Linked DNA regions of Daphnia pulex. The protein of the gene in region 1 purifies or fractionates together with the protein of each later gene. This does not show direct contact. Links are inferred from orthologs where the notes say so. Each region holds a gene or a part of one and is shown in the gene's direction. Other genes may lie near its edges. The genes, in order: low-density lipoprotein receptor-related protein 6-like and axin-like.

What was found.
Region 2: the proteins of low-density lipoprotein receptor-related protein 6-like (region 1) and axin-like purify together in Homo sapiens (affinity purification with western blotting; 7 studies listed by BioGRID and IntAct, with this or other methods). This does not show direct contact. The link is inferred for Daphnia pulex from reciprocal best matches to the Homo sapiens genes LRP6 and AXIN1.

Annotation. Positions count from the first base shown.
Region 1 is NC_060019.1:8,497,464-8,513,069, reverse strand, and holds low-density lipoprotein receptor-related protein 6-like, read left to right. Parts: upstream 1-3,605; 5' UTR 3,606-3,928; coding exon 3,929-4,226; intron 4,227-4,283; coding exon 4,284-5,191; intron 5,192-5,247; coding exon 5,248-5,823; intron 5,824-5,884; coding exon 5,885-7,171; intron 7,172-7,245; coding exon 7,246-9,444; 3' UTR 9,445-9,860; downstream 9,861-15,606. Other genes in the region: uncharacterized protein LOC124190611, read right to left, coding at 1-1,260, 1,322-2,323; pancreatic lipase-related protein 2-like, read right to left, coding at 15,359-15,416, 15,492-15,606. UniProt on the Homo sapiens protein: Component of the Wnt-Fzd-LRP5-LRP6 complex that triggers beta-catenin signaling through inducing aggregation of receptor-ligand complexes into ribosome-sized signalosomes.
Region 2 is NC_060025.1:2,833,469-2,849,074, forward strand, and holds axin-like, read left to right. Parts: upstream 1-6,795; 5' UTR 6,796-6,946; intron 6,947-8,121; exon of another isoform or gene 8,122-8,343; intron 8,344-8,381; exon of another isoform or gene 8,382-8,604; intron 8,605-8,801; 5' UTR 8,802-9,035; intron 9,036-9,508; 5' UTR 9,509-9,571; coding exon 9,572-9,635; intron 9,636-9,706; coding exon 9,707-10,038; intron 10,039-10,098; coding exon 10,099-10,371; intron 10,372-10,439; coding exon 10,440-10,726; intron 10,727-10,923; coding exon 10,924-11,064; intron 11,065-11,192; coding exon 11,193-11,346; intron 11,347-11,430; coding exon 11,431-11,541; intron 11,542-11,618; coding exon 11,619-11,763; intron 11,764-11,831; coding exon 11,832-12,046; intron 12,047-12,110; coding exon 12,111-12,454; intron 12,455-12,519; coding exon 12,520-12,690; intron 12,691-12,755; coding exon 12,756-12,829; intron 12,830-12,893; coding exon 12,894-13,041; intron 13,042-13,104; coding exon 13,105-13,231; 3' UTR 13,232-13,861; downstream 13,862-15,606. Other genes in the region: protein mago nashi homolog, read right to left, coding at 803-902, 962-1,155, 1,214-1,272, 1,349-1,439; uncharacterized protein MCAP_0864-like, read left to right, coding at 2,066-3,430. UniProt on the Homo sapiens protein: Component of the beta-catenin destruction complex required for regulating CTNNB1 levels through phosphorylation and ubiquitination, and modulating Wnt-signaling.

The DNA of each region.
Region 1 (15,606 bases):
CAACGGATCGCTGTCAAATTTGTGAAGCAGTTGCAGTAGTTGAGACAAGAATTGCGGTCGAGCAGCGTGTTCGGTCAGAGCCACTCGAACGATTGCCTCTAGCCCCGGACTGGCCTGAGACTGTGGTTTGTCCTCCGACTCTCGTTCGGCCAACAAGTTGACATTCATAACGGACGAAACGTTTGGCTCTGGGGCACGACGGTTTTCTTTAGGACGGGCGCCGCCCGAGTATTTGAGAGTTGAAGCGTCTTTGACAACTTTGTTGTTGTTGCTGCCGGCATCTACCGCAGCGCTGGTTCTTGGCACAGAGATGGCAGGTACCACCACCACCGGAGCTGGTGAGGCTTCGTTAGTCGATTGCTGTTGATGATTCAAATTCCGTGCGTTCACTTCAGGCAAAGTAACTCCCGAACTGCTATTGCTGCTGTTGCTGTTTCCGCCTTGACCTCGAACGGAAAGGAGACCGTAAGCCAGGGCAGAAAGTACCCGGTTGTCGGCATGCGGAGGACAATGAACACCAATCTCCACCTGACGTTGACCTTTGTTGATTTTTCGTTTGGTACGGCGTGAAGGTGGTTGGGCAGGATTGCGAGGATTCGTTTCCGACGGACTAGTAGCTTGAATCTGTTGGCTGGTTGGATGAAGCAATGAAGAGGTTGACATTTCGGTCGACAACCCGGCTTGCTGGTGGTCACTAACGTTCACATTGGACGGCCCTGAAGAGAGGAGATTCTGTCTCGAGTAACTGCGGAAGTTGTCCCAGTAATTGTTGGTTCTGGTGCCGGGCGGCACTCGATTGTTCAGCGTGACCTGCGGATCGAATCGGTCCATACCAGCGCACTCGTAGGCTGAGGCGCTCGATCTTTCAGCTTTAGGATCACGAAAAGGGTTGTGATGAACTTCACTGGTTCTGCCGGATGCTTCAGGGTGTTGAGGATTCGATTCGAGGCTCAGTTGAACAGTCGCCAAGTCTCTTTGAAGTTGAGTGAGCATATGGCAACATGTGCTCACAGCCTGAGCCAGAACATGGAAATCAGATCCACTATCGTTCCACGATGAGTTCACAGGAAGTCCCGATAGAGAGAAACTTGACGAAGCGTTTCGATTAACGGCCGCGGCATTACGGCTGCTGAATTGTAAATTGGAAACGGCCGATAGGAGACTTTCAGTCACCAAAGCCAATCGACGTTGCTCGACTACCATCAATTCACACAAGGAATTTGTTCGTTCCAATTGATTCTCTATTCGATCAAGACGTTCCTGAGCAAAAACAAATATTTATTGAAATATTGAAACAATTTATGTTGAAATTGACACTTACAATGGGGACGGTTGCGGGTAAACGTATTCCATTCCTGACGGATGTCTCAGCACTGTGCATGCGTTCATGCGACGTATGGTCATCTTGCCCGTTAACTTCCTCTATTCGAGTTTCTTCAGCTTCTTCGTTGGAGGAATCAAAAGAAGGTTCGCCTTGCGCAAACACGTCCAACAATGAACCGTTTACTTGGGACGAAGTTGAATATCTTTTAGGACTACCGAGAGAATCGTGACTCAGATTATTCTGAGGTGAATAGAGATGATTGCTGCTGGCACCTATTTGCTGCTGGAGTGTCCCTTTGTTCAAATGCCTGGGGACACCAGGGTTGATTCTTGGTATGGTAGGTGTTCTGGATGGCCCATTTGAAGACACATTGCGTAGAAAATCCAAGGGAAAATCTTTGGGCTTGCTGTTCTTCTCCTCATTCTGTTGAGTATAGGGATTGTAGTCGAGGTCTATGGAAACATTTTGCATCAATTCTTGCAGCTGGATAAGTCTTTGCTGAGCCTCTTGGAGTTTTCTAGCTCGATTGCTAATGGAAGTATAAACTGTTTCAGCATTGTTGGTCATTTCAGCTCTAGTTGCATTTGGAGTTGGTTCATCTGAGAATGGGGAATGCATCTGCTGTAACTGGGACATGGCATTATCATACTGCCACTTCTTTTGCTGCAGTTCACGCATCTTCTCTTGCATCTCCCTGTGCTCTCCTTCAGATGGGTTGTTGAGTGCTGATCCGGATTCATACAGAGATGTGGGTCTCTGGAAATCCCTGAAGGACGAGTTTGTACTAGACAAGAACTGATGATTGTTGTCTCTGACACCATTTGCATTCGCTGTTGAAGAACTTGTTCTAGAAGATCTACTTGTTCTACGGTGATCGGGAACATGATCAGAGTTCCTGTAATTGACGGATGAATTATCTTTATAACTAGACGATGACGTATTGCTCGTCACAGAGAGATTCCGTTGGCGATTTCCATTCACCGGTCTGCTTCCTGACATGATAAAATCACAGAATACTAGTCAAGAATGAAATTATACAGCCTGTTGTGTCGTCGTAGTTTATATGTAAAACAAAACAATAATGAACTGTTTTTGACGTATGAAGAATATAAATAAAACAAAAAAAAACTTTCTGCGTTTCGTCCGTTAGTTGACTAACAGATGGTGCTTTGACGTAAATACCGACGGCGTCGTTTATTTAAAAACGAATAATATAATTCAATTCATAAAGATATATCGAATAAACTATTGGATTTATTTTAAAGAAGAATTTATAACCAAACAAGTTTTGGGAAAAAAGACATGATTCAAATATGATTGATTTTATATGTTTCTTCTCATCGGCAACGCCACAAAAGCGCCACAAGTCACTGTGTGTGGGTTTCGTCAACTCCAGCGTGAGTGTCTATCGCTCACTTTTCTTCTGCAAGTCTCCAAAGGCAATATGGTAAAAGAGAGTTTTATCGTTAAATATTAGCAGTTTTTAATACCATCGACGTTTCTTATGTGTGTTTTATAGATTTGTGTGCTAATATGTATAAGTTCGTGTTGAGTTCATGTCTGATCGTTCTTTTCTTGTTTTTGTAAAGGGGGCCCACAAAACCTTGAAAGTCAAGAAGCTTCTGGCCAAGAAGATGAAGCAAAATAGGCCGATTCCTCAATGGATTCGTCTGAGGACTGACAATACCATCAGGTAATTACTACTAGCTATTTAATTCACAGTGAGCTTAATTAAGTCACAGTGAGCTAACAGTTTTTATATTACTCATTTCTAGATACAACGCCAAGCGTCGTCATTGGCGCAGGAAGAAGCTGAAGTTGTAAGGTGGATTGTCAGCAGAACCTTGAATTGCTCCTTGGTCAAAAGTGTGTTGAACCAACAAATTCTTCTTATTGTCGATGAGGATTTTGGAAGACGTATATGCTACTTGTCCAATGGAATCATACAAGGATCTATTCAAATGTATCTTGTTGTCTTAAATCATTTGCGAGTACTGTTCAGTTGGAACGATCTTAAGAACACCATCAATTAGCATTTATTTGTTGGTCCGTTTGATTAGATGCAAGTCGGTAAACATATCCATAATGTAGTAGTATTTCAACTTTTTATTAGGGGTTAGAGTAAGTTAACTCTTTGAATCGAGGTCCAAAATTCATAGTGGGTTAGGTTTGGAAAAGCGTTAGGGCAAAGTGGGAGTACGATATGAACGAGTTGGATTGATACCTTTTCATATTGAAAAACAATTCCCAAGGGGTTATGAAAGGGTCAAAACTCAACAGAAGAAGAAAAGGTAGAAGAGAAAGAGGCTGTATCTGGTGGATCTGGATGCCATAAACGGTAAATAGAAAAGGAAAAAAATGTACGGCAACGTTGACATACCATTATAGGGTAAAAAAAAATTAATCAAGATGGCGCCCAGTGGCTTGGTTTAGCCAGTGACAACTGTTTCGGAATTTAGTTGTTTTTGCGAATCATGAAGTTTTCATCAAACTGAACCTATAAGAAAACAACAGTTAATTGTTCGATTAGCGTTGTATAAACTTACCACAGTGTTTTACTTGCAATGTAGCTTGTATCATGTGCTTGGTGTTTAAATCGAAACGATGCGATTGTTGGTGCAGCTCTTGGCGGTTTTCCTTGTAACCGTCCAACAAGGTGCCTCTTCTCATCCTTGGCTTTTATTCGCCAATCGCAAAGATATTCGTTTGGTGGACGCCACTCAGCCAAGGAATCGAAACAACAATGTCACCATCATCATTAAGGATCTCGAGGATGCTGCTGCCCTTGATTATCATTATGAGAAGGGGATGGTCTGCTGGACAGACATTAGCCTTGAGATGATTCGATGTGCCTACCATCAGGGAGCCAATTTACTTAATAAAACAAATGTTATCACTACAGGTAAGATAATATTTTAGTGCAAGCTTTCGTAGTTGCTTAATTTTGTTTTTGTGAAAGGTTTGGTGTCCCCAGATGGGCTGGCGATAGATTGGTTGGGGAACAAGTTGTATTGGACAGATAGTGAAACCAATCGCCTTGAAGTTTCAACACTGAATGGAGAAAACAGAAAAGTTCTTTTTTGGGAGGACTTGGATCAGCCAAGAGCCATCTGCTTGTTTCCAAAGAAAGGCTTGCTGTTCTGGACCGATTGGGGAGAGAATCCCAAAATTGAATCTGCTGGCATGAATGGTGATCTTACAACAAGACATGTCATTATCAAGGATGAAATATTTTGGCCCAATGGACTGACTATTGATTATGAAGAAGAGGCCATATTTTGGGCCGACGCCAAGTTGAATATCATCTGTTCAGCCAGTCTAACTGGTGCAAATCGGAGAACAGTAAGTCAGGGAGATTTACAACATCCGTTTGCTTTGACCATGTACAAAAATGTGCTGTACTGGACCGATTGGCAGACCAAATCCATTCATTCATGCAATAAGAAAACGGGAGCTGGTAGGAAAGCTGTTCTTGGCTCTTCTCTTACTCCTATGGACATTCACGTGTACGACCAAGAGAGGCAACCCTATAGCGCCTTACCGTGTCAGAATCAGAATGCCAAGTGTTCTCATCTTTGTCTCTCAGCTCCTTATCCTCCATGGTTCACCTGTGCATGCCCCACAGGGTCAAAATTAGTCGACAATTTTACGTGCGCTGATGGTGCTCAACAGTTGTTGCTGTTGGCAAGGCGTACTGATCTGAGGCGCATCTCACTCGACACTCCTGACTACACAGACGTCGTTCTACCTTTGGATGGCGTCAAACACGCCATCGCAGTCGACTACGATCCCGTTGATGGATTTGTCTACTGGTCAGATGACGAAGTTCGAGGCATTCGTCGTGCAAAACTTGATGGCAGTCAACAGGTAATTCGTCATGAAATATGCTTTCGTTACTGTTGTTATTTCATTTCGTTTTCTAGGAGGATGTTGTTATGGCTGAAGTTGACCACCCGGACGGAATTGCTGTAGACTGGATCGGCCGTAACCTTTATTGGACAGATACTGGGACGGATAGAATTGAAGTTGCTCGACTCAATGGCACCTGGCGTAAGGTGCTCATATCAGAAAATTTGGATGAACCCCGTGCCCTGGCCTTAGATCCTGAAGTTGGCTGGATGTTTTGGACTGATTGGGGTAAAGAGCCGAAAATTGAACGAGCTTCCATGGATGGCTCGGATCGCGTAGTCCTTGTAAATACTTCCTTGGGCTGGCCCAACGGTATCGCTCTCGATTACGTTCAGCGTCGCCTCTACTGGTGTGATGCAAAAACGGACAAAATTGAAGTGGCTGACATGGACGGCTCCAAACGCAAAGAAATACTCAGCGAAAATGTGCCCCACATTTTCGGTTTCTCCTTGCTCGGCGATTTTCTCTACTGGACAGACTGGCAACATCGTAGTATTGAGAGAGTGCATAAGTGGACGGGCGAGGATCGCAAAATCATTGTAGATCAGCTCCCAGATCTTATGGGACTGAAAGCAATCAATATCACAGAGGTAGAACAATTCATTAAAAACATTTTGTTTTGTGCCAATTTTAAAGCTTATGAATTTGCAGGTTCGAGGGACAAATCCTTGTGCTGTTGGAAATGGTGGTTGTTCCCACTTGTGCCTGAACCGACCAGGCAAATATGTTTGTGCCTGTCCCATCGGTTACGAATTGACGGCTGATGAGATTAACTGTGTGATTCCGGAAGCTTTCTTGCTCTTCACTCGTAAAGAAGACATTCGCCGCATCAGTTTAGAAGCAAACCACAAAAACGTTATCATTCCGATTGCTGGTGTCAAAGAAGCTAGTGCCTTAGATTTCGACGTCAACGACAATCGCATTTACTGGACAGATATAGGAGTCAAGTCCATTTCGCGAGCCTTTATGAACGGATCAAATCTGGAAGTGGTGGTTGAATTTGGTTTGGAGTATCCAGAAGGCATGGCTGTCGACTGGGTGGCCCACAATATCTATTGGGCAGACATGGGAAGCCATCGTGTGGAAGTGGCCCGACTTGACGGATCTTCGCGGCGTGTTTTGATTTGGAAAGATTTGAAAAATCCACGCAGCATCGCCCTAGACCCAGGAGAAGGCTACATGTACCTCGGTGTCTGGGGTTCTGTCCCACACATTGAACGCGCTGGACTAGATGGGAGCCAACGCATCACTTTGGTCAATGGTGTAGGTCGCGTCAACGGGTTGGTGGTAGACTTTGCCGACAGACGCCTCTACTGGGCCGATGTTGACGGCAAGCACATTGAGAGCTGTGACCTAGACGGCAAACAACGACAAGTTGTGGTCTCGGGTAATATGCCTCAGCCGCACGGCCTGACGCAGTATGAGGAGTTTATTTACTGGGCTGACTGGACAACACGCTCGATCGAGAGAGCCCACAAGCAATCGGGTGAAAACAGAACACGTATCCAAACTCAGGTAGATTACGTTATGGATATTCTCGTCTTCCATTCGTCGCGACAGTCCGGCTGGAACCCCTGTGCTGTCAATAACGGAGGGTGTTCTCACCTGTGCCTTGCTCTACCAGCTGGATCTACTAGTAGTTCCTCACCTCGTACTCAGCCATCAGTTTCTTCTACAACGACCGCTGCATCTTCTTCATCAGCATCGACGTCGTCTGCTGCTGCAGCGACAAATCTACCAGCAACTACAGTAGTCGTCCGTCAATCGCATACTCATCGATGTACCTGTCCCACCCATTACGAGCTTGTGGCAGACAACAAAACATGTGTCGCCCCGAAATCATTTCTTCTCTTCAGCCAAAAGAATTACATCAACCGACTTCTTCCGAGTTCCCCTGATAGCCCGGATGTGATTCTGCCTATTCGAGGCTTGAAACAAGTATTATATCCTTTTTATTTTTGTATTGGTTATAGAAATTTTGCTTCTAACGCTTATCTGTGTATTGTTTCAAGGTTCGTGGTATTGAGTTTGACCCAGTGGGACAGCACTTGTACTGGATAGACGGACGATCACAAACCATTCGTCGCGCCCTAGATAATGGGACACAAGCTTCAGTTGTTGTGGCCAATCCAACACAGTCACTACATCCATACGATTTGGCAGTGGAACCTTATTCACGAGTTCTCTTTTGGAGTTGCTCAAGGTTCAATGCCATCAACGCTACCAGAATCGACAATCACCTTTCTGTTGGTATCCTGGTTGGAGGTCCGTCCACCAGCGACAAACCAAGGAACTTGGCCGTTCACCCTGTCAAAGGATGGCTGTTCTTCACCAACTTAGTCTCGCCGGCCCGAATCGAACGGTGCCGTTTAGACGGTAGTGACCGCGTCAAGATAATAGAAACAGATATTGACCAACCTTCAGCGCTGACTATCGACACAGAAGAGGAGATGATCTTTTGGGCTGACACCAGTTTGAAGGTCATCGAAGTTGCAGCTCTAGACGGAACCAACCGCAGGAAGTTGATCTCTTCTCAATTAGTTCAGCCTATTGCATTAACTGTTCACGGACGGCACCTTTATTGGTTAGAAAAGGATTCACAACTCATCGAACGAGCACTCAAGATTAACGGTGAAGACAGACAAAGAGTCCAGGGTCGGATTCCATATTTGTCGGATTTACTTTCAACGTCTACACTGGATCCAAATACTCTAGCATCCAATCCGTGTTATCCACCCAACTCAGGCTGTGGTCATCTTTGCGTATTGATGGATTCCGGCGAACGTGGCAGATGTGCTTGTCCATTAAACATGATACTCGAGGATGGCAAAACGTGTGTTGAACCACCTGCTTGTTCTCCAGAACATTTTACCTGTCGTTCCGGAATTTACGAAACGGGACCGTCTGGAAGCGGGGCCACTCGCTGCATTCCCCTGTCGTGGCGTTGTGATGGTCAGACGGAATGTTCAGATGCTTCGGATGAAGAAGATTGCCCAGAATGTCGGCCAGATCAGTTCCGGTGCCAGACCGGCCAGTGCATCGCTAAGAAACATGAATGTGATGGCGTCCCTCAATGTATGGATCGATCAGATGAACAAAGGTGTTGTCCCCTTGGACAATTTTACTGTTCAGAACTTTGTCTTCCCGATATTCTTCTTTGCGATGGTGTGCCTCATTGCCCGGATGAATCCGACGAATCAGTTACTTCCTGCGCAAACCGTGTGGCTAATCCGTTAGCCGGTGATTCGTCCATCAGGACTACTTACATCATCGGCATTGTGGTTGGATTGGGATCGGTTGCACTCCTTTGTGTTCTCTTTTTCTGTTGGCATAGACGACATCACAGCCACGCTGACCCTGACGAAGGAGCCCACGATCCTCTCAATCCAGTTGCGCCCCGGCACACTATTGTACCCGGCCACACTCAACTGCAAACAGACTATCAACTTCAATATGTCAGTAATATTGTTGGTGAAAGGACGGCAGGTGTAGGAGCATCCTCTCACCTCGGCAGCAGCGCGGTGGACCTCTTGAGCGGCCGTGGAGTGAAAAATGGGGGAGCCATTATTGTGGATGGAGGTGGCGTCGTGGTTGGTTCAAGTTCCAGCTGCCAATTGTACGACCGCAGTCATGTTACTGGTGCATCGAGTTCGAGTTCGAGCGGTCCTGGATATCCTCAGGAGACTCTAAATCCACCGCCCAGCCCGGCAACAGATACACGATCTCACTGCACGGAACCATACTGCTGTACAGCTGTGAGTGGTCAATCTCACAAGTCGCACACATTGAGCCGTCAGACTGCTCGTGGGCACCATCTGGGACATCAACCCAGGCTAAGTGGTACTTCGAGCCAAGTTTATTCTACTTTACGATCTTATAAGCATTACAAAGTCCGCAACCAGCCTCCACCACCCACACCCTGCAGTACCGACAACTTCGAAGAATCGGATTCGCAAGTGGCTTATCACAGTTCACCTTCGCCTTCGTCTATACCCAAGATGGGCCCAGGATTTAAAAATGCTGGTAGAAGGCAACAGTCTTCACATCGACACCAACGATTGGGAGCGGACTACGATAGTGATCCTTACCCTCCACCACCTACTCCAGCAAGATCACATTACGTGTCAGATGCATCATGTCCGCCATCACCTTCGACAGAACGATCATATTTTAATCCTTTACCCCCTCCACCTTCTCCATCACCTCAGTAGATTTAGATGTTCTACAATTTTTTATTAGATTTTTTTCCCCATAAATGAACGCGGAATCGGAATTATTTGAACGAAACTGTACAGCTATTTTAATCATGTAAATAATTTCTAACAAGAAGACAATCATGTGCTCCTTGACTTTCTTTTTCTCGATCCTCTCCTTCCACCTGGGTAGCCGCGTAACCCATCGTGTTATCTATGAATATATCTATTACTACTATGCTCCCTTTTGATTGAGTGCAAAATTATGAGAAAAATTTGGTACGGTTGACATCTCATTTCGTTACTTCGTTTTTTTTTCTCCCGGCAACTAATTTCTTTCCCAAGTTTCGTGAAAATACGGGCAGGAGACTGCCTCATTGTGCCAACCACTCCGTTGTATTGCCTTAAATAATACACTGTGGTATCTCTTCTTATGGAGTCTTCAGCGTCCGATTGATGTTCAACATCACAAGTCAAGTCTTTAAAAAAAGTTAAGACCGCAACTTGGTGGACACTGGGCACTTAGTCAAAGTGTTCTCTATTACGGCCATTGGCGGGTTATTATTACGGAATGTCATACTCATCTTGTTTTAAAGTAAGCTATTGCTATTTACATACAATTATTTTAGTTTCTGGGGGGGGGGGGGAATGGAAATTGAATATTTCTATCGTGGGGTTTGTTTTTCATATCGCACCACTTGTTAGATTCTTTTTCAGGTTCTTACGCTTCTAATTTGTAGATATCCCCGTATCTCTGATCAGATGTCTCATCGCATCTGATTTGTCATCGAGAGGCTGTAAGCAAATGGGGCATCTCTTTTTTTTACATTAAAAACAGAAAATATTTCGTGTTGATTAATTTTGTGTGTTTGTTGACAATTCACTTATTTTCGTAGATTATTTACTAATAATCTACTAGCTTTAAACTCGGTCTGTGTAATAATTTCTAAATCAGGCCTTGAAGGGCGTGACGAATTCAAATTTGGCTGCTGCGTGCAAGCAATCCAATTGGCTGTCGCTAGGTGGCGCGAATGTTTTCAGGGGACTAAATTCGGCCATTTTGTTCCTTGACGCAGCAGAAGTGGGATGCCGGTCGTGACGTTTCCCATGATGAAAATGTTAAGGTATATGGCAATCCGTCATAAAGGTATTTTTGTTAATTTCTTAGTGTTACTTAATGTTAAATTTCGTTGTGTTAATTGACAGGTGATTTCAATACCACTTTGTCAAAACATGTAACTCGGACTTTCGAGAGCCTGTCCATTTTGCCGAAATGTCGTGCCTCGTGTCTTGCTGCCAGTCGTACGTCTCGTCCCTAGCAAAAGCAAAAGTAATTATGTTTATCTAATTTTCTACTAAAGTACTTGGTTAATATGACTAGAGATCAATTTGCATTTGAATACCTTGCCAATTCTAACTTCCTATGTAAAATTTGAGATATCGGAAAGATCTGTTGGACTGCGTAGCTTGTGTGTGAGCAGTACTCCTGGTATTCCTTTGTCCTAAAGAGTCCTGTGTAATTGTGCACACACTGTCTTTCCCCGATGGTAATTATTTTGTTTTCTTAAATAGGTCTGCTGTTGGTTATCTTGTTGCAGCCAGGTGGAGAAAGATGTGATGGGGACTAATTGAACTGTTGTATGCAGCGTGTGGTTCCAGTGTTATCCAGAAGTAGCTGTGCTGGCGGTATCCTGAACTAGCATGAAGCAGCCTGAAGTTGCCAGTGATATCCGGGTCGCTGACTTTAAATATTTTTCTGTTTGTATTTGTGTATTTTGCCCTGCCAATGTTATCCTGTGTGTGAAATAATCTGTTCTCTTTTGTGTGTTTTTTTTGCTCTACCAGTGATTTCCTGTGTTGCAGTCTTGAAATGGTTTCACTGTCGTCTTTGGCGTTTTTATTGTGCAGTATACGATTGAGGCAACCTGATCTATGTCAGGTTTGACACAGTCGACAACTGCTAGATTAAATTCCGGCTTTCTGCACCAACAAAATAATAACGGCACATGTTATTATCGCGGTTGGGAAAGTCACAGGCCCCCCCCTCCCTGGGGGCCATAAATATATATCTATAATATTGTGTTTGAATAAATAAAATAAACATTTTGCATAGCAAAATATTTTGTTAATTTTTTTAATAAAAAAAAAAGAATGAAAGGACATCGCCAATTTTTGTCGAAAAAGACTTAGTAAATAAATAATATGGTGGTTGTTTTATGAAGCGGAAAAAAATGATAAAAATTTGGACAGGAAATTATTTATTTTGGTTATAAATTAAATATAGGTTGTAATAATCGTTGTATGCATAGGGAAAAAAGAACAAAATAGGTTTGTTTCATATTTTATTGTTAGCGAAGTAATAATATTGATATTGGTCATAAATGTGAAGAGCGAACAAGTTGAAACGTTATATGAGGAGATACAGTTGATTGCGAATCATAAGGGAGAATTACTTCGTGGTCAAACTAATATTTCTCCAAAAATACATCAGAACTTCTCATTGCTATTTCCCTTTCGACCAGACGAATAACCAACGGCGGACATGCAGTTTACTCAGGGAAAAGGGACAACAGATATGCATTTGTAAATTGTGCAGTCTTGAATTTCAGCAACCTCTTTTCGGCTTCACCAATGGATCAAGTCTGGAACGGCGGCGTACGATTGAACTGAAAACGACAACGGAGATTTAGTTGCAAGTCAATAATTTAAAAAAAAAAACTCATCCAGCATTACCTCAATGTGGGTACAGGTAGCAAGAGAATACACCAACAAAATGCCAGACAACTTTCAGGAGACACCAACTTTTGCACAACAGCTCAACACTGCATGGACACCAACAATGTTAGTCGAAGTCTGAAGTAGAACTTCCAAGTCTGCAGAAGATCCATTTCAGCACATCTCCAAATTGGAACATGACTGCCGCACCACTGCACACCAGACATCACCACCATTAACAGCTCCAACACCAAACTCGCAAAGAATTCCTACAAAACAAAAGAATGTTAAAAAACCAAGATTATTTTCAAACAAATACAAAAAAATTCAGTTGTGTATGAAAAAATATTGTTAAAAAACTACAACTTTTTACAAGCTGATGAAAATAGTTTCTAAAGGATCTTATTCTAAGCAGTTGGTAGTTTTTCAAATGTCTCCATATATTTCTAAATCAAGAATTCTACTCCCAACTTGAGTAACTTCTAAGCAAAGAACAGCACATGCATGGACTAAAATTTAAGCTAAATGCTAACATACTCAAGTTGTTTTACACAAGTAGATGTTACCATTTCAGATTTCCTTCCGTTTTCTTCACATTTTCATCTCGCAACATGATAAAGACCTCATCAAGGGCATGATCACAGAGGCATCTTGTTGACTTGGCACTGCACGTTGAGAATAATTTCCACCAACCTGTCACAAATTAAATTAGTAAAATCAGAGAGTAAAATATACTTTTAAAATTGTGATTAACTGAAGTGCATGTCTTCACAAGCTCAATTCAAGTTCAGCTCTCAATTGAAAAAATTCACAAAACTATCAAAGAAAAATATTGGCAAATGATGGGTTACTTAGGATTACTTATGTATGATAATTCATAATAAAACTTTCTATCAGAAATTAGATTACAGAATTTTAATGTGGAAAAACAAACTCTTATAATTATTAAGTTACTCAATATTATTACTTGTACTGTTCTATAGTACTTCAACATGCAACGAAACGTGCAACATGGCGCAAGAGACGACATTTTGGACAAGTGTACTTCAGGCATGGCCACATGGAATTGGCTAGCATAAATTTAAGGCCATGTAACCCGTAAATTAACCCGTAAATTAACCATAAAAAAACATTAACATTAAGAATGAAATCAGGAATTACCTTTTTTATGGAGAACATGTCAGGAAAGAAATTACCTCGCAATGACTAACGTAACCATCCTCGACGGCGTCTCGATAGAAAAGAAATAAATGGACGTCATTCGTCTCAGAACTTTGGTTTGATGCCCCCTCCCCTCCCCTAATACCAATACACTAGGGCTGAATAGTTCAATCCCTAAACACACTGAAATATTTAGCCACCTAGTGACAGCACTTGGCATCCACGGACGAAAAATAAACAAATATTTGTCTCCGTGGAATACATTTAGTAGATAAAAAAAAGCAATTATCGAAAAATAAAAATTAACAAGTGTTAATTTTTTGTTGGTGGAATAGTTATCGTCAGTCATCACCAGAAGGTTACCACACAGCAACTGCGAATACATTTTTACAGGGATGTGCAAAGTAACTAAAACTGACTAATTTGACAACTGAAAATGATTAATAAAGGCTATATATAAAGCCACTTGAAAAAAAAGGGGTCAGTGATGGTAAGGAGGCTTGGAAGTTTTCACACATGAAGGAAAATGATGATTATCGAACTTGTTAAGCAGTAAGATACCCATAATCAGGAATTTCGAGTAGAAACAAAATATGAGTACAAAAATAAACTGTGCAAGCACTAGAATCAGTAAAGTAACTTACACTTAAAATGGCGTTGGATTAATCACTAATAAATGACGAAGAACAAAGCGATGAGGCTAACAGTCCTAACACAATCTAACTACAGCGAAGGGACCGATTAATGCTGCTCACTTAGGACAGCTTGACAGATTTCAGAAGTATAATAAATTTTATGATGAGATTGTATTCTTCATTATATTGTGGTAGGGTTTTATATTTTATTTATCAGGAAGTGTTTTCATTGAAAACACTCGTCCAAAAATTTTATCAAGCATCCTTTAAGACGTTTGACTATCCGACATTTGGAGAACGACATCCTTAATAATCGTAATTCATAATTGCAATTATTATTTTAATTGTAATTATATAACTCGCATCGCTCAAAGTTGTCTTCAAGGATACAAGATCGGATATGTCTAAATTAATGGTTGTAAAACGGCTCTTTAAGTACGGATTTCTTTATCAATTTAGCTAACAGCTGAAGCGTCACAAGAATGCGATTTACATCAAAACCACTTCATTTTTAAAATATTAAGAAATAGTTTATAAAGCGCAATTTTTTCTTATCTAAAGTTCATTTTTTCCTTTTATGAGCATGTGCTTAGTTTACTTGTGTTGTAGTTGTAATAGGACGAAAAGGCTATATTGCGTAGGTTTCTTTGATTACGAGTCAAACCCCTTGCGGATATAGTCTTCCGAGACACAAATGGCGGAACATTTGTGGGAGGGGGGGGGGGGTGATTCTTTCTTTTGTCTGTAATCTTTAAGCCTTGGCCCTTGGGGTAGGTAGGTAGATATGATAGGTGCGCGCAGTCCCTTTAAGCCAGAAATATGTTTGAAAAATACCCGTATTCGGCAAATTTGAGGACTTGTGTTCTACCATCTGTCAAAACAAATGGCTAGTAAAAATCTTAGCATAACAAACACACAATTCTTCTTTTTTGTCCGATATACACACTGGTACCGAGGAAATTTAATAGCCCCTCATACTGTGTGTTAAGAATAGCTGAGTGATCACGTAACAAAGAGGTGTGTAGAAATTTTGGGTTCTTGAAAGGATTGACTTATTCTTATGTAACTTTTTATTATTTTAATTCTTCTCGCATTTTTATCATAAGTTTCGTCTCTGTTTGATTGGTAGGCTAGTCTAGCTTTTGATTGGTAATGATCTCATTTAAGTAAAATTTTAACCTTTTCCATCGAATCAGCTTCGTATTCAGCAGTGGCTATTCAGCGGTTCAGTCGCAATACGTAATCGCTGCAAAAAATCGATAAAACATTACAAACAATTGATAAATCAAGGGTTCGTACAATTATTCTAATTTAATAAAAACTACTTAATTTAAAAAAAAATGCAACGATCTTGACACAGTAGTGACAAATACCGTCAATAAAATAAATAGATAAATGGACAATTAAGTTGTTTTGTCTTTTCATCCCATAGCCCACGGTTCTTGTTCGTTTGTGTCCAAATAGAAAATACCTCGAGCACTTATTGACAGAAAAAAAAATAGTGAAATCAGTGCAAATGTTAAAAATGAGTGGAAAGTCGATGAAATCACTTACTTTAAAGAAACTGTGTCTCCCATAAGCTCTTTGTCGTTTCCATCACAGGAGCCGTTCTGGAATGACTCGTACGAGTCACAGCGCAGTGATACAAAACCAACTTCCGTGTTGATAG
Region 2 (15,606 bases), on another chromosome or scaffold:
TTGCAACACACCTACCCTAAACACACATTGCTCAGGTTGAACTTGACAAGTTTATTTTACTTAACTTTTTTTTAAAGAAAGTGAATTAAACTTGGTTCCATTACTAAATGATTTGGAAATCATAAAATTTAAAATTTAAGGTCAAATTGTATCTATTTCAGTTAGTTGTTAACATTTTCAGTGTAGGCAGGGGAGAGAGCTTAGGACATTTAAATAGCGTGGGATGTGATGTGTCATTGACATTGACTCATTTCATTTAACGGTTCGGAAAATATTTGAGGAAATAATTCAGTTGAAAGTATTGCAAAATATGTTGGAAAAAAGTAGGCCAGTTAGTTTTATTTACGCATTTACAAGAAATGCCATAAGCCAGTATCGCCAGGTCTCGTGCATTTGTTGCGTAAAATCGATCTTTCCTATTCGCAAGGACGTTTAACCGGTTTTTTAATCATATTCATTCTACATTCTAGCGAGGTCCCGTAATGTAGATATCTCGAACAAGATAGCTCATGAAAAATCTATAAACAACGGCTTTCATCCTCCAGGGTTTCTATTGATAACATTACACACCCAAATTAACACCCTTCTGTTGTCAAAAATCAGTATCCTTCACTTTTCATTTTTGTCTGATTATAAAAAGAATATATGTTCATGAATACACTACACTTTGTCATGTTTGAGTACTAAAACAAAATTCTTCAAGAAATCCTTTTTTATTACTTGGACAAAAAAAAATCATACACCATATGGGATAGTTAGATGGAAAATTGACATTTGACAATACACATCACAGTCAAAATCTTTAAATGGGTTTGATCTTGAAGTGGAGACCAATGAGAGAGAACACGAGACACTTCAAATCCTGGACCAGATAGTAAAATGCACGTAATCCATCAGCATCTCTGTAAAATATTAAGGGAAATTAAACTAATTTACTGGTTTCAAAATAATATAGATTTACTTTGATTGATTGACATCTACAAGGGAGCCAATCTTTGATGTTGAGAATGAAATGTGTTCATCTCCCATGACAATTTCAAGCTCTTGTCTTCCAACACGATCAGGAGTTGGCCACAGGGAATCATCTTCTTGAAGAATTTCAGAGTCTTCGATAACTCGTTTCAACTCATTCAAAACACTTTGATGAACATATGCCTAAAGAAAGAAATCAAATGTTGCAGATCTTGATAAACATATATCTTGTTGAAATTACCTCTTTTCTGATCATGGTGTCATTTTTATAATTGGAATTATTGGCGTATCTCAGTTTGCCTAAAAAGAAATTAGGACGACCCGGTATTTAGTGAAAGGTGCAAATGTGACATCAAATAACATGATATTTAGTTACCATCAGGCCTAAATTCAAACTCGAGAAACTCGTGGCCGAATTTTCCCTTGTGCCCAACATAATATCGTAAATAAAACTCGCTTTTCGGCATTTTGTGTAATAAATTACGATTTGTAAATTTCAGTGAAACAACCCACGCTACTCGCTTGTGTTCTACTGCTGGTTACCCCCTCTCCAAAACAAGCCGAAACATTCATCCCTAAACACATTTTACAATGTCGTTCGCTTTGCAGTGTAAAAAACCATGGTGGTTTAAACCGGGTTTTAACTCAAATTTAATAAATATACTTGGTAATTTGACGATTTGACTAATTTACCGAATAAATTTCATCGACGAATTCAAGTTTAGACAAGTTATTTAGTTTGCAAATTTACCGCCCAGGCGCTCTGTCGCATTTTCAAACCAGGCAAACCGTAATCTCGACTTTTCTCGAGCACAATGCTGAGTTTTAAAATGGAAAAAAAGAGTTGATAGTTATTTTCAATCAACTTCACACTAATTGAATAACATGCGCAAATTTATAAACTATGATTTAAGTTCAGTACGAATGTTAAAAAGAAAAAACCTAATAAGAGGTGAAAGAAAAAGAAGGAAAAAACAGCCCTGCATAAGTAATGATTCCCATGGCAGGTTATATAAAGCCCAAGTCAACGCCAACAGATAATAAGACTGCTTAGTAGTTTTGGTTTACAAAAGTTTTCAGCAGATATTTCGAGATGGGTCTTTTATTGGAAATCGTTGTGATTTGGGTTTGGGTGAAATATTTTACCGAAAAATCTTCTCCTAGTACCAAAAATCAGCATTCATCAGCTGAATACCCAAACAGCGTCGATGTTGAACCGGAAGTTTGTCAAGACACCAGACAGCGGCTCACAGTGGATTCGGAAATGCTAACAACAACCAGCATTCCCGATGAGCAATTCCAAACAGAGGAGAATGGCAAGTTGAAAAGAGACAATGAACGTTTGGCAAATCAAGTTATCCAACTGAAACTTGAACTTTCCACGTTGAGCTCAGAACATGACGAGGTACGTGACGAGCTAATTTCTACCAGGTGTGAACTGTATGCCAAAAATCGAGACATCACCAACTTCGAGAAAACCATCTCGCACCTGAAGAACAACCAATCAGCACTGAATGTCGACGACGTTGATGATTTTAATCCTGCCAACACCAAGTCCGCACTAGCACAGAACAACGTGATACTAGTCCCGGAACAGGAGGATAAGTCGACTCAAACCGTGGATGTGCAACTTCCTACGACGGTCGTTGATAACAGGATTGAGGAACTTGAAGATCAGTACAAAAAGATATGCGCTCATAATACATCTATGCAACGAAAGATGAGAGGGTTCCACGCTGCCCGTAATATTCTTCAAAGCGCAAACGAAAAGCTTGTCCTCCAACTAGACAGCAAAGCAAAAGAACTTGAGGAAGAAAAAGCCTTGTCAAAGAAGAAAATCCAGGAGTTAGAAAGCGACCACCAGGAAAGCGTCGGAAAAATTCGACAATACTACCAAACTTTGCTTAACAACAGAAACTGCAAAAACAATGAACTTGAAGAAATTATCTCAGAGTTGTACTCTATAATTGATGAATGCGAAGAAAACCACCGCACTGAGATGGAAGAAATGGATACGAGGTATTCAAAAGTAATCGATGAACAAAACGAACACTTGATGCAGCTGGAGTCTAGGGTTGCCGAGTTGACACAGAAAAACTGCGAATTGAACGACACTGTGGACGAACTAGAGCTCAGCTCTTACGCGCTACCAGATTACTACAAGATTCTGAACGTGAAAAGGACAGACACCGACGAAAAAATCATGAAGTCCTACAAAGAGAAAATTCTACAAGCCCATCCGGACAAGGTCAATCAGATACAAACAGATGATGTTGAAAAAGCGTTGATGAAGGCAAACCGACTAAGCCAGGCACTTAATCGTGCAAAGGACTTATTAATAGAACCGAGACTTCGGTACCAATACGACAGCTGGTTAGACATGACGGAGATCAAGAAAACAGAGAAGAAAATGTGGGATTATAAAGCGTTTGAAGAACGGAAACGTTACAGGAATTAAAGCCGCCCTTATGTTTAATCTTCGATTTTCTTTGGATGAGTTGCAGTTGATTTGGTTTTTGTTTTTTTGTGTTTTTTTACCGAAGTTAAGTAATGTTAGAAGCTGAATGTCAGTCTTGCGATTGATATTTGTTGATTTGTGATGACGCTCCCTCCTCGTAACAATCCGGAAGGGAATGGTGGGTGAACCTGTCAATGGAGTTGGTGTGTCGCTGTTGTGCGTGGGGACTTCTGAATATACTTTGAACTGCACAAGATGATTTGTCATTGGGAAGTACGAAAGTGCTTACACAATACAACTCCTCTAACAGTCAGAGAAGTAGGTTGTCCTCACCCTACATGTCAGTGTAACATTTGACTACCTTGACAGGGGGTTTAATTACCCTTAAATGAGTCCACCAATTCTTTACGGTAAGTTACGATGGAGACAGCCGAGCAAGTTGACCATTATCGATTGTAGGGCTGGTTCAGTTTCTTTCATTATTAGCTTCGGTTTTTTAATTTTTTTTTCATTCGTTCTTTTTCTCAATAAATCGGGTTCTGTCCCATATATAATCTCAATCGTGTTGTTTGACCTTTTCTTATTCCTCATCATTTATGGTAGTATGTACTTAAATTCGATGGTATGTGCTATTCATAATTTTCTGGGGGGTTTAATATTACCCTTTTTAAATGAGTCTATCACACTTCTTGACCTGTTCTTGACGTGCGTTTACGGTGGAGATGGCTGGCTGTGCAGCTTGGCAGCAGAAGTTGTCAGTTACTTCTCTTGTTTCCTCATCAAGCTTCTGGACACGGGGATTGTACAACTATACAAACACCGCCCATTACCAGTTTGACTGAAGAAGGCTATAGATTTTAAAAAAAGGATATTTCAACGATTTCAATCTGCCATTTTTGATTACATCCTCACTTAAGTTCCTCCCTTGATTTTAAAATTTTTGGTAAACAGTGGCAGATTTAAGGTGTTGCCATATTTTTAAAAATTAACCTGAGAGTCCCAAAGTTAATTTATCACGATATTTCTCTTATGCATAATGACTTGGTCGTGAACGCGGTCTGACCGATGACTTAAGAGACGCGCCATCTAATGTCGCCCACCCTTCCAAAACTAAAGCTGACGGTTAACATTCACACTAGGTACAATGGTACATTTGTGTTTACTTAAACAAAGGCTCCCTGACTTGCGCAAATCTTCTATCTTTGTTTTTATTTATTTTGAAAGAAATTTGAGTGGCGATCATCTTCCCTGTCTCATTGTCACATAAATTATATTTTTAATTTTTTTAAAATAAAATATTGTGAGGACAGCGCCATTTTATCGAATGGTGGAAGGGACAGTTTCGTCTAGGACATATGTAGAATCACTATCGGGAAATTGATTCACCAAAGAGGTGACGTCTTTTATTTGCGGAAAGAAATCCGGTCCAACGAACATTATATTATTTGTACAAGATTCCATTTCTGTATTTCAAAATCTTGAACCGTGATCTTAGCCGGGTTCTGATGCGTAAAACACGGTAAAAAGTTTTCATATGAGAAAAAGATAAAGAAAGGTTAAATTTCGTCACTTCACAAAGATATTATAGATATTCGGTTATACCGGTTCGATGTCAAATCGAAACATTGGTCAACAGCAGCTACTGCGAAACAAATGTTCTTTCACCTTTAGCATACTATATACACACGTTTATCTAATGTCACGAAATAGATTTGTCTACCTGTCTTGCTCAAAACGGTCGGTAACATCATACGGGTCTGTCTCACTAACAAAGTAATCACTATAGTATACCTCAATCGGAACAAATACATAACGATGAATGAATTGAGCAAGCTCATAATTATCGCCTTGAAACACTTTGCGTGATTCCACCCCCTTTGTGTGTAATACGATTTCCCGCAAAGAAAATCATATAATCTATTCAAACTGATAATGAGATTTGGCTGCACCTGCGTGCACCCATCAGGAGAAAGCCCGAAAACTCATTGCTCAAAATTCATTCATAATATACTACTCATCCGCAATAGTTATTGATCCGGAACTGGTCAATAATTCAAAGGTCTTGCGCGGGGGACAAATAGCAAAGTCCGTATTATTTCGCAACATATGTTTTCCGATCAATGTGTGTCGATTCAGCCGATCTAAGCGTTTTTTTTTTATTTATTATAATTTTTCCATATCGTGTGACGTAAGCAAAGGTTTTCAAAACCGAGTCCAAAGTTGGACCGCTAGACGTCCTCCTAGTTATCCTTGTGTACGTACTTCATGGCCAAAGGCTTTAGTGAAGATTTCAAAGTGTCGATGATTTATTATAAAAGGCGGCAGATATCGTAAAAGTGTTTCACTCTTGAACCCACACGAAGCTACAGGCGATTAAAAGATTTGGAATCTGTTTGAAAAAAGAAAGGGATAAACAAAAAAATTGTTTTTCAAAAGGGAAAAATCTTCATTTCAATGTGACTTGGCAGTTTTACGGGGCAGGATTTGATGACTTGATGTACACATCTACCGTTATATTACGGTGTTTGAAGAAGAAGTAAATAATACTATATCCTCTCTCGTCATTTAAACCATTCGAAACTTAATCTGGAGAGAGTGTCAATCAAAATGAAATCAATTCTCTCTTGAGCTCTTAAGATTGCGTAGATTTATTCTTGTGTGTGACTCATATATCAAGACATGGACGACATTTATAGGCCGGAATTAAACGCGAATCAATCCATCTTTTATCGCCAGTAATCTCGATGACTCAAATTCTTTATTTTTTCCCTAATGAAAGTCGATGATAAAATCTGGCGTTGCTAGCGCATTAATGAACATAAAAGACCCCCTCTTTTTCTTATAAAATAATAAATTCCAAATAATAATAATAATAATAATAATAATACTCGTTGTTTGTATACAACGGATGCACTATATATCCATGGCGCATCAGTATTAATGACTAGCGCCGCCAAGATGTCGCGTTCTTTTCTTTCATTTAAGATTTTCTTATCTTGGAGTAGCGCGGCTCTTTTTCTCTTTCCTCTTTACCCCAAAAGTTAAAAAAGAAACCGCCGCGCTCGCGCGCCAGTGTGTAATCTGATTTCCCCGTGTCTGTATGTGTGTGTGTGTATGTGTGTAGGAGAGATAATTCCCAATGAAGCTGCTGCTGCACAGTTAGACTGCCCAGGGTCCGCTGAGTGATCATCATCATCGTGCGAGACAAATGAGTGCGACCAATAGACCAAACCGCCGCCGCCGCCACTTTTTAAAATTTTGAGCGCAGATAAAAGCCTCAAAATGTGGCAAGACCTTTAACTCGCGGTATAAATATCAGATCCATCTTTATTTTTTTTCCTACCCGAATGACACAGATATCTGGTGGGGGTATAAGAAAGGAGTTGGTCGGCGAGGTGTTTAGACGTGTCCGCGGTGAAGTGCAATTGTTGTTGTTGTTGTTCATCCATCATCTTTTGGTCCAACGGTGGAACTAATTTGCCGACTTCAGCAGCAGCAGCTTCGATTTGATTCCAGGTAGGTAGATATATTTTGAGAACATCCATCTTTTATTATAATATACTATATAAGATGCAATTGAGTCGGATGCAAATTGATCCGGGACATCCATCAACTTGGCTGTCGGCGGAAGTGGCCTCCTCCTCCTCCTTTTGGGCGGCCGCCGCCGTTTGATAATTTCGCCGCGCGGCAGCAGACAACAATTCCCACCATCCTATCCTAATAATAATAAGAAAAAGAGCTGATCTATATTTACGATGCTGCGGCATTTTGTTGGCTTGAATCCATCTGCTGCTGGTCGCGTAATCGACCAAGAGTCACTTTACCTTGACACGTCGTCGGCAATGGAATTTCGTTTTTTTTTCCCCGGACAACACATTCTCTCCAGCATTTTGAAGAAAGAGATAGATGACATCAACATCTCGAACCCCGCAAGCCAGCATGCTGCTGGTTAAAAGCCTTTTTTTTTATTTTTCTATTTTTTAACTTGAAATATACTCAAAAAAGAGCCGCGGGTCAATAGAAGAAAGGCCGCCGCCGCCGCCACCGCCGCCTTCCTTTTTTTAACACATAGTCTTGATTATCGCGCGGCTTGTTTTTTCTTCTTGGCCCGACGTGAAGACCTTGAGTGTGTGGTGGCTACCGCCGAAGAAGAATACCCTCTCTAGTCCTATGAAAATGTATGTAACCACCATTAAGGGCAATCATCAGAGTAGGTACAAGACCGACATGATGTCTTGATGGCACACAACGAATCCAGGTGAGGGCAAAACGCCAGGAGGCGTAGATCGACCTGGCTGGATTGATCTAGCTTTTAACTTTGACGTGATATTATATATACAACTCAATCGCTTTTTAGAAAATATATATATAAATACAGCAGAGGCGACATTTCCACAGAAGGAAGGAATTTGAGTTACATGAACCCGCTCCAAGGCTTCCCCCCTTTTCTTCTTTTTTGGGTGTTATTTGTTCGGTACACTTTGATGCCCTTTCATGGAAGCATTATGCAGGCAACACTCGAGATGTATGCATAAGATTATTGCCAATGTAAAAAAAAGTAAAGATCATTAGGCGATTTTTGTGAAAGAATGTCGGCACCTGCAAAGTCATGGCGAAAAGCTGAAGAAAAAGAAAGAAAGAATAAAGGAACTTGTGAGGAAGAAGAATGTCTTGGCGAATCGATTTCTAGCCAACTATCGATATATAGACATCGGGTGTACGTTTCTCGATACGATATAGGGGGAATGGGAACTGAGTTGTTTGGAGTTGAGCAGAAGCCGTCCGTCTTTTTTTCGAGTTTCATTTATTTCATTTTTTTGTGTTTTCTGTTTCTTTCCCTGAGTTGTGGCCCGTTGTTGACACGACGGCCGAAATTAATCTGAAAAAATTCGAGTGAAAATTCGATGGAAAAGGTAAATTAAGAGGAGAAACAGAAATCTGACAGAGTGATGCCCCTAGGTTATGCCCCTACTGCATACACATCTGAAAAAGTGACAATGGGCAAGCGATGGGTTTACCTAGACTCGCGTGCCCAGTGATTATTTGCAATCTAGGCAACTCCATTTACCACTCAGACTTATTGAATGTGATGGAAAATGAAATGCAAGTCTTGACTACGGGGAGGCATCACTCTTTTGTCAGGATTGTGAGCAGAGTCTGTATTGATCGACCTGGTGAGAGCTTTTGTAGTGAGTGGGGAGAACTCGGAGAGCAATTTCACTCTTCTCTCCCTTCTCATTTGTAATCCAGGGGCTCTCATCCAGTTTTTTCCAGCTGTCAAATATTGTGAACATTTGAGTAGTGGAAAACACAATAGCTTCTGCTTATGGTTAACAAACTGGTCGATAACTCTTGTACTCTTGTATTACAGGATTTCATCCAGAACCCGTGACAACAATTGGACCACTCATGTGAAGATATCGGGCCTCATTAAGGACTGAAGAGATCGACCCAATAGTTGCAACCCCCACAGACCGTCCAATTATGTTGATGCAGTAGTGATTCGTCGCAGTGTGCCTTATTCATAGCGTGCCTCATAGAAGAAACCAACTCCTCCTTCGCTTCACCCCTCTTATTTCACCAGTCTGGAACTAGATGCTGCCTGGTAAGCAACCTCCGTTTTTTCCATCTCTATTGTAGTCCATTTTTTCCTATTGTTATCTTGCACTCACCAAAAAATGAAAAATCTCCCTACTCATTGTTACGTTGTCAGATTATATTTCGCGCTCCAACGATTCCAATCAATGCTTACCCACCAAAAACTTGCAGTTATTTCTTTTTTTGCTTTCTGATGGTGAGGAGGGGGGCTAGAAGAGGAGGGGGGGGCTGGTGGGCGGAAGAGTGGGTCTTCCAAAGCCGGATATGGGATCTGGGAACGAATTTCTCTGGATGGATTCTCTACACACAGTTGCTGTGGCAGCAGAGTTTAGTTTATTTTGTGAAATTGCCAACTTCGGTTCAGTAGAAGAGTCCAATGTTGATGTTTTTGCTCTAACCAGTGACATCAAGTTGTGATTCGAGTTTCTGGCCATGTTAAAATGTGTGCTAACCATTTCGTTGCATCTCTTTCGTGTCCAGGTGATGCTGCTCCTGTTTTATTTATCGTCCGTTGACTACAACGAACTTGTACAGTGTTAAGTGATGAATGGAGGTGGATCTGTGATTCGTTTTTCGGAATCTGCTCCTCGACCCCCTGTCTTCCCAGGTATGATCCAACTGGTCGCCTTTGTGTGTGCTTATTACATTCATTCTAATGTTGTTGCGTTTTTAATTCAGGTGAAGAAAATGTGCCGTCAAGTCAGGTGAAGATGGATCCATGGGCTTCACGGTTCGGAAGGCGGGGCCCGTCGCATCCTTCGACGCTGTCGCCCTCCAAAGGTTCATCACCCGTCCTGACGCCTCGCAGACATGGCCAGTCGATGGACGAGAACGACTTGGCTCGCCGCTACGAACCGGCTGAAGGATCGGCCTCCACGTCTCCACCCTTGGTCGAAACGCCGCCCTATTTGCGATGGGCTGAAAATCTTCATTTCCTCCTGACCGATCCCGACGGCGTCGAACTCTTTGAAAAATATCTCGAACAGGAAAATTGTTCTCATTTACTCAAAGTATGTCCCCATCAACTGCAATTTCTTTTTCGTATTTTTCACTCATTTTTTGTTTTGCAGTTTTGGTTTGCCTGCGAAGGCCTCAAACGAAACTGGGCAGAAGATCCCGAAAAAGCTGTCCAAATCATCCAAGTCATTTACAAAAAGTACATCCGGCTCAAAAGGGTCAATGTGTCGGAACTGAATCGGCGTGAGATTAACGACCGAGTGGCCAACAAAGCTACCCTTGACGCGCATATCTTTGACGAAGCGCAAAAGGATGTCGAAGATCTTATCCGCAGCTCAGTTTACGTCAACTTCCTAAATTCGGACGTCTATTTATCTTACATTCAAGTAAAGAGTCGATCACTTTCATCGCTTTGACATCTATCTCATTTTACGTCCTCTTATAAATTATCTAGTCTATGCAAAATGGCATCCCGGATTCGCCTCGAAGCGGCCGGAGTCAAGGAGGAGGTTCAGACATCACCGCCAAATCTTCCGTCGCCCCTGATCTCGCCGGAACGGGCGCTTCAGATGATCGAGGACCTCACCTAGGGCCATTGCCTACTTTGCACGAAGATTCTGAATTCTCTTATCCTGCCGTCGAGCTCAACAAGCCAATCCCACTGACGCATGACGCTCTCATGGCCACCAAGAATGTCCGGATGAACGTCGAATCCCGACCAGTAGGCGGCCTCTACCCAAGGTGAGTCATCGTTATAGAATGTCTTTGAAAAATTGCATGATCAATTTCTTTCTTTCTCATTTTTTATTTTTTTTTCAAACTTTTGCCTGAATTTTTATTTAATTGGAATGCCGTTATGATTCTTATTTCAATTCACTTATTATTTCGTTTTTTTTTTTCGGTTTCCGTTTTTTTCTTTACGTTTATTTACGGGGTAGTAGTCGAGTGCCCCACAACCCATATCACTCCGTGCACACAACCAGCTATTACGCGCCGTACAATCCCGTTTCACGCCAGGATTCCGAGATATCCTCTGATGCTCATACGGACGACACTCGCTCACTGACCGATGGTTCTGTGTAAGAATTTCGAATGAATGTTTCTTTATTTTTAGTTATATTTTTTAAATGTTTTAGAGCCTGCAAACAATTTTATTTCAGTAATTATTCGTTCAACATTAACTTGTAACAAACGTGTCGTTTTATAGCGATGGTTCTGTCCTGTTTTACCCGGCCAAGCCTAACCGGCACCAACTGCGCAAAGCTCGGCAAAAGATTTCAAACGACTGTATGAGAAATCGTGATCCGTCTATAAACCAGCCATTCATCCCGCGAACTCAGCGTCTTCCACCCAAAGAACAGGTTATACACCTCGACATTCATCACGACTGAATCAGGTTTTTTTTTTTAAATAAAAAGGGAATGTTTTTTCTTGTTTGGTCGCAGCAGGTGATGCCCAAGACGCCGCAAGAATTCGCCGCTGAGCTCATCCAAAAGTTGGAAGCCGTTAAACGAGATCGGGAATCTGAAGAAAAGTTGCTCCGGATTGTCGCTGAGGTTGGTGGCATTTTCCCACGTTTTCTCTTTAAACAGCCAAAGTGCATTTTAAGCAAAAACTATTTGTTTTCATACAGAGGGATAGTGAAGCCAGTGGATTGGATGAGCCATGCCCGCAAGGCGCCCGCTTCAAACCCGGATCTGAATGCTCAGCTCGTGTTTTGGCAGAAGCACTGTCCAAAATCGCTTCTTCAAATGAAGCCGACACACAATCGATTCTCGGTAATGTGCACGATTTGATCTGTTGTGAAGTTCTATCTTAATCGAGTGGAATATTATTATTTTTACAGATAACCACGTCCAAAGAATCTGGGCAGATCAGACGCCATTGCGATCACCCGGTGCACCTTCACCTCGGCCGTGGTCTCCAGAGAACCGGCGTCGATTGCCACCGAATTCTGTGGCTATTCCAACGAAAACCAGTGGGCCACCAATAATGAGCTCTTCTGCATATGGACCCGGCTATTTCCAACGCTCCTCAGCCCATCATCGGCGAAAAGACAAGGTAAATGTCTATTCAATTCTAATTCTTCGTGAACTGGGACTTTACGGAATATTTTAATTTTCAGGATATCGAAAAGGGTTCGACCTACTCAGCAGACTCGGGTGCGATTCTCGATCAAGGTGACAGCGGAAGAGAAAATCGAGCTCACTTTTCCAAGTCGCAATCAATTCCTGATACGCGCCGGATTGGTATGACGTCCTCTCTTGGGGGAGCTAGCAGTGCCATCGGCAGCAAGAAATCAGAATACGATCGTGTCCATGACAGTGGTCTTTGCCTCCATACGGACCCTAATCCTGGAACACTAATGGCACCGCCTTCACAGCCACCCAAGGAAAAAGTGCTCCACTGGATCAGCACCAATGACAAATGGCAAGAAGCTGATAGAGATCCGTCTTCCAGCAAGCACAGGTAATTGTTTAATCAACTCAGGCCTAATCGGGTGGATCTCTAACAATTTCTTTTTTGATGGTTAGGTCGCGTCCACCGAGTTCGACTTCACCCATTTCTTCCAGAAGGAGTCGGCAACACAAGTCCGCTTACGGGACTTCGAGGTCGGAATCGCTGGAACGAGCTGGAGCTTCCGCCGGTCATTTAACGCAAAGTGAAGACGATATGGCTAGAAATCGTCCTCCAACCAAGCCAAAGTAAGTTTAATAAAACGAAAACTAAATTCACTTATTTGATTCATTTATTGATCCAATCATTCTAGACCTAGCGTATCACAGCCAACTTCCACTCACTCGACAACGATGAAGAAACCAGCAAGTAGTGGAGCTCTCTCAGGTAAACAAGGAACAATTCAGCAGCGTTGGTTGTTCGCCCCCACTCATTCCATTTTGATTCACAGGTGAAGGAAGCTCAGCCCCAACAGAATGCACTGTTGTGACGTTCACTTTTGGAGATGAGCCCGTGCCCTACCGCAGCCGGATACCTGGACGAACTGTCACGCTCAAGCAATTCAAAGAAATTTGTGTGCCCAAAAAAGGAAACTACAAGTAAGGAAGACTCTTAATTATTTTTCACAAAGCTTTGTACTCTAATCATCTTTTGTTAATTAGGTACTACTTTAAGACGAATTGCGAGGACGACGTAGCGATGGCAGTCAATCAGGAGGTTATTGACGACTCTGAGATTCTACCACTCTGGGAAGACAAAGTGCTGGGTATCGTCAAGCTTGTCGATTAGAATTGATGATGTTATGGAAAAGATATTGTCTTGAAAACTTTACAAAAAAAAACTCTTTAAAATGAACCTGAGTTTATGTTGCAGCTTAACATTACCCTCCTTCAAAATCTTCAGCCCTGTCTTTTATTTTGTATGATGTCAGTTCTATTTTTGTCATTGTCGTTTTTCATCGATTCACGCGTTGTTTTTTCTCTTAACTCCTGTCTTTTGATAGAAATCGAGTTTCTTTTATTTCTTTTCTCTTTTATTTTGAGAAGCGTGCAACAATCGTGTCGTAGTAATTTACCCTTTTTCCAGCATGAATGAATATTTGTTTAATTGTCGCGCTGAGACTTCTTTCTTCCCTCCTGCATTTCCTTTTTATACTTTGTCTGGGCCAAAAAAAAAACTAATTTAAGAAAAAAAAATGTTGGAAGATTTGCCTTAGCCAGAATATTTTTTTTTTAACTTCGCAATCGTCTGATTTGTACACATCCATCGAGTATTCTCTGAAAGATAAGGAATGACATGTGTTCAACTCCGATTCCTCGTCTACCACTATCTCCATCCCGCCCAAATAAAACCGCCACTTCATCTGAAGCATTACTAATACGCAAACGTTTCATTACAATTTTATGAAATTGTTTTGTATAACTGTGGACATTCATTTCGACATCCAACTTGGTTTCATTATAAGTCGGGGTTTTTTATGTTTTTTGTGAAGCTATACTTGGCAGTTAAGAATTTCAAGCCAAACGACTTTTCAAATTTTCATTTGAAACGAAAGTAATCATAATTATTCACATTTTCACTTGCCATTTTTAAAGATAAATCTCATTTTGGGCGGGAATTTAAGCAAGAACTAAGTAGAAACCAATGCGATGCTAGCGACATCTAACTACAATCGAAGTGCTTGATTTGTCTATTTTCTTTTATGGGAAAAAGAAATAGTCAGATCACATGCGTTAGCAAAATATCCAAAGGACTGTTTGTCATTTTTATTTCATTAAAAAATCACGATAGCATATCAATAGTCTGCCAATGGCCGTAATAGACTAAGACTGTGACATCTCGGAGTCACTTGTATTCTATAGCTGTCGCTGTGTTAGAACTTATAAAATTAATTAATATATAAGTATTTACCATACTAGACCATCACGGAATTTCCGGCAAAATTACTACCAATATGACTAATTTAATGTTGGCATGTGGAAACGAACCAACGACGAAAGGACCGAGACGGACCTGATGTTGTTGCTACGCCGTTTCATTAGATTCTCCGATTCTCCCTGATGAACGCAGCAGCACACACACACACAAAGGAGGCAGTGAGGCACTATAGGGACGATACTATAGGGACGATTATTGGTCGGGAAAGAAAATGTCGTTAAAAAAACATGATATTATTATTTTTAAAAAATTCCTCTTTGTGAACTTTGTTTCGACATGCAAATCGTATTGATTAGCACATCACTGCATACGTACAAGTCTAGTTATACACGAATATCACGTGTTCCTATTGCTATGCTTCCATCACTACAGTTCTTCTTTACTTTGTATTTATATTTAACGTTCGATTTAGAGAGTAATTAACTTCTTCCCAGATTGTTGCGCTGAATGGTTCGACGAGTAACTATTCTGGTATGGCTAGCTCAGCCGCCCGTGGTGGTAGCCACGTCGTCTGCCGCCCCAGAACAGTCACTAGAAGCCCTAAGACGTGCTGCAAGTTTTGGGATAGTTAATTTACCTTAGTTGACTCCAAAATCAATGTGTAGTTATAGGTTGCGCCTGATGTAAATTTCAATGGTGTTTAGGGAATTAGTCGAACTAAGCTTGCACCTTTGATATAGGTTATGATAACATTCTAATGCCCTGTTCTTATTCATCAAGATGCGATAAAATATGCTCACTTTTCAATAAAATGATCATTCATTAATAAGGCGCAAATTCAGTCTATATTAATACAAAATCCGTTGTCAATTTTTTCTTGTCTTGACGCAGAAGATACACAGGAGAGAGAAAGGAAGGAGGATGAGCATTTCCCCAGCAGACGGCAAGCCGACCCGAGTGTAGTCCTAAAACTTTCAGTTTAATAGTTTATTTTATCAGAGTTCTCCGATAACTGGCTTAAAAGAAGAAGAAGAATCTAATCAGTAGAGGGAATAGGGAACGCGGGCCAGTTCAGCCAAAAAGCCTCGTACATCACACACGAGATTAATTTCTAGACGGCCAGTAAAGTTGCATATATAGTCAATTGCGTCATTAAAAGGAAAAAAAAAAAACAAATCGAATTTTATATTTTTTCGAAGCCAAACGGAACAATGGGCACGTCTGCATTTTAACTATAGAAAAATCATCAAAGATGATATTAATGAACCCAGTTGATTTTTCTTTTT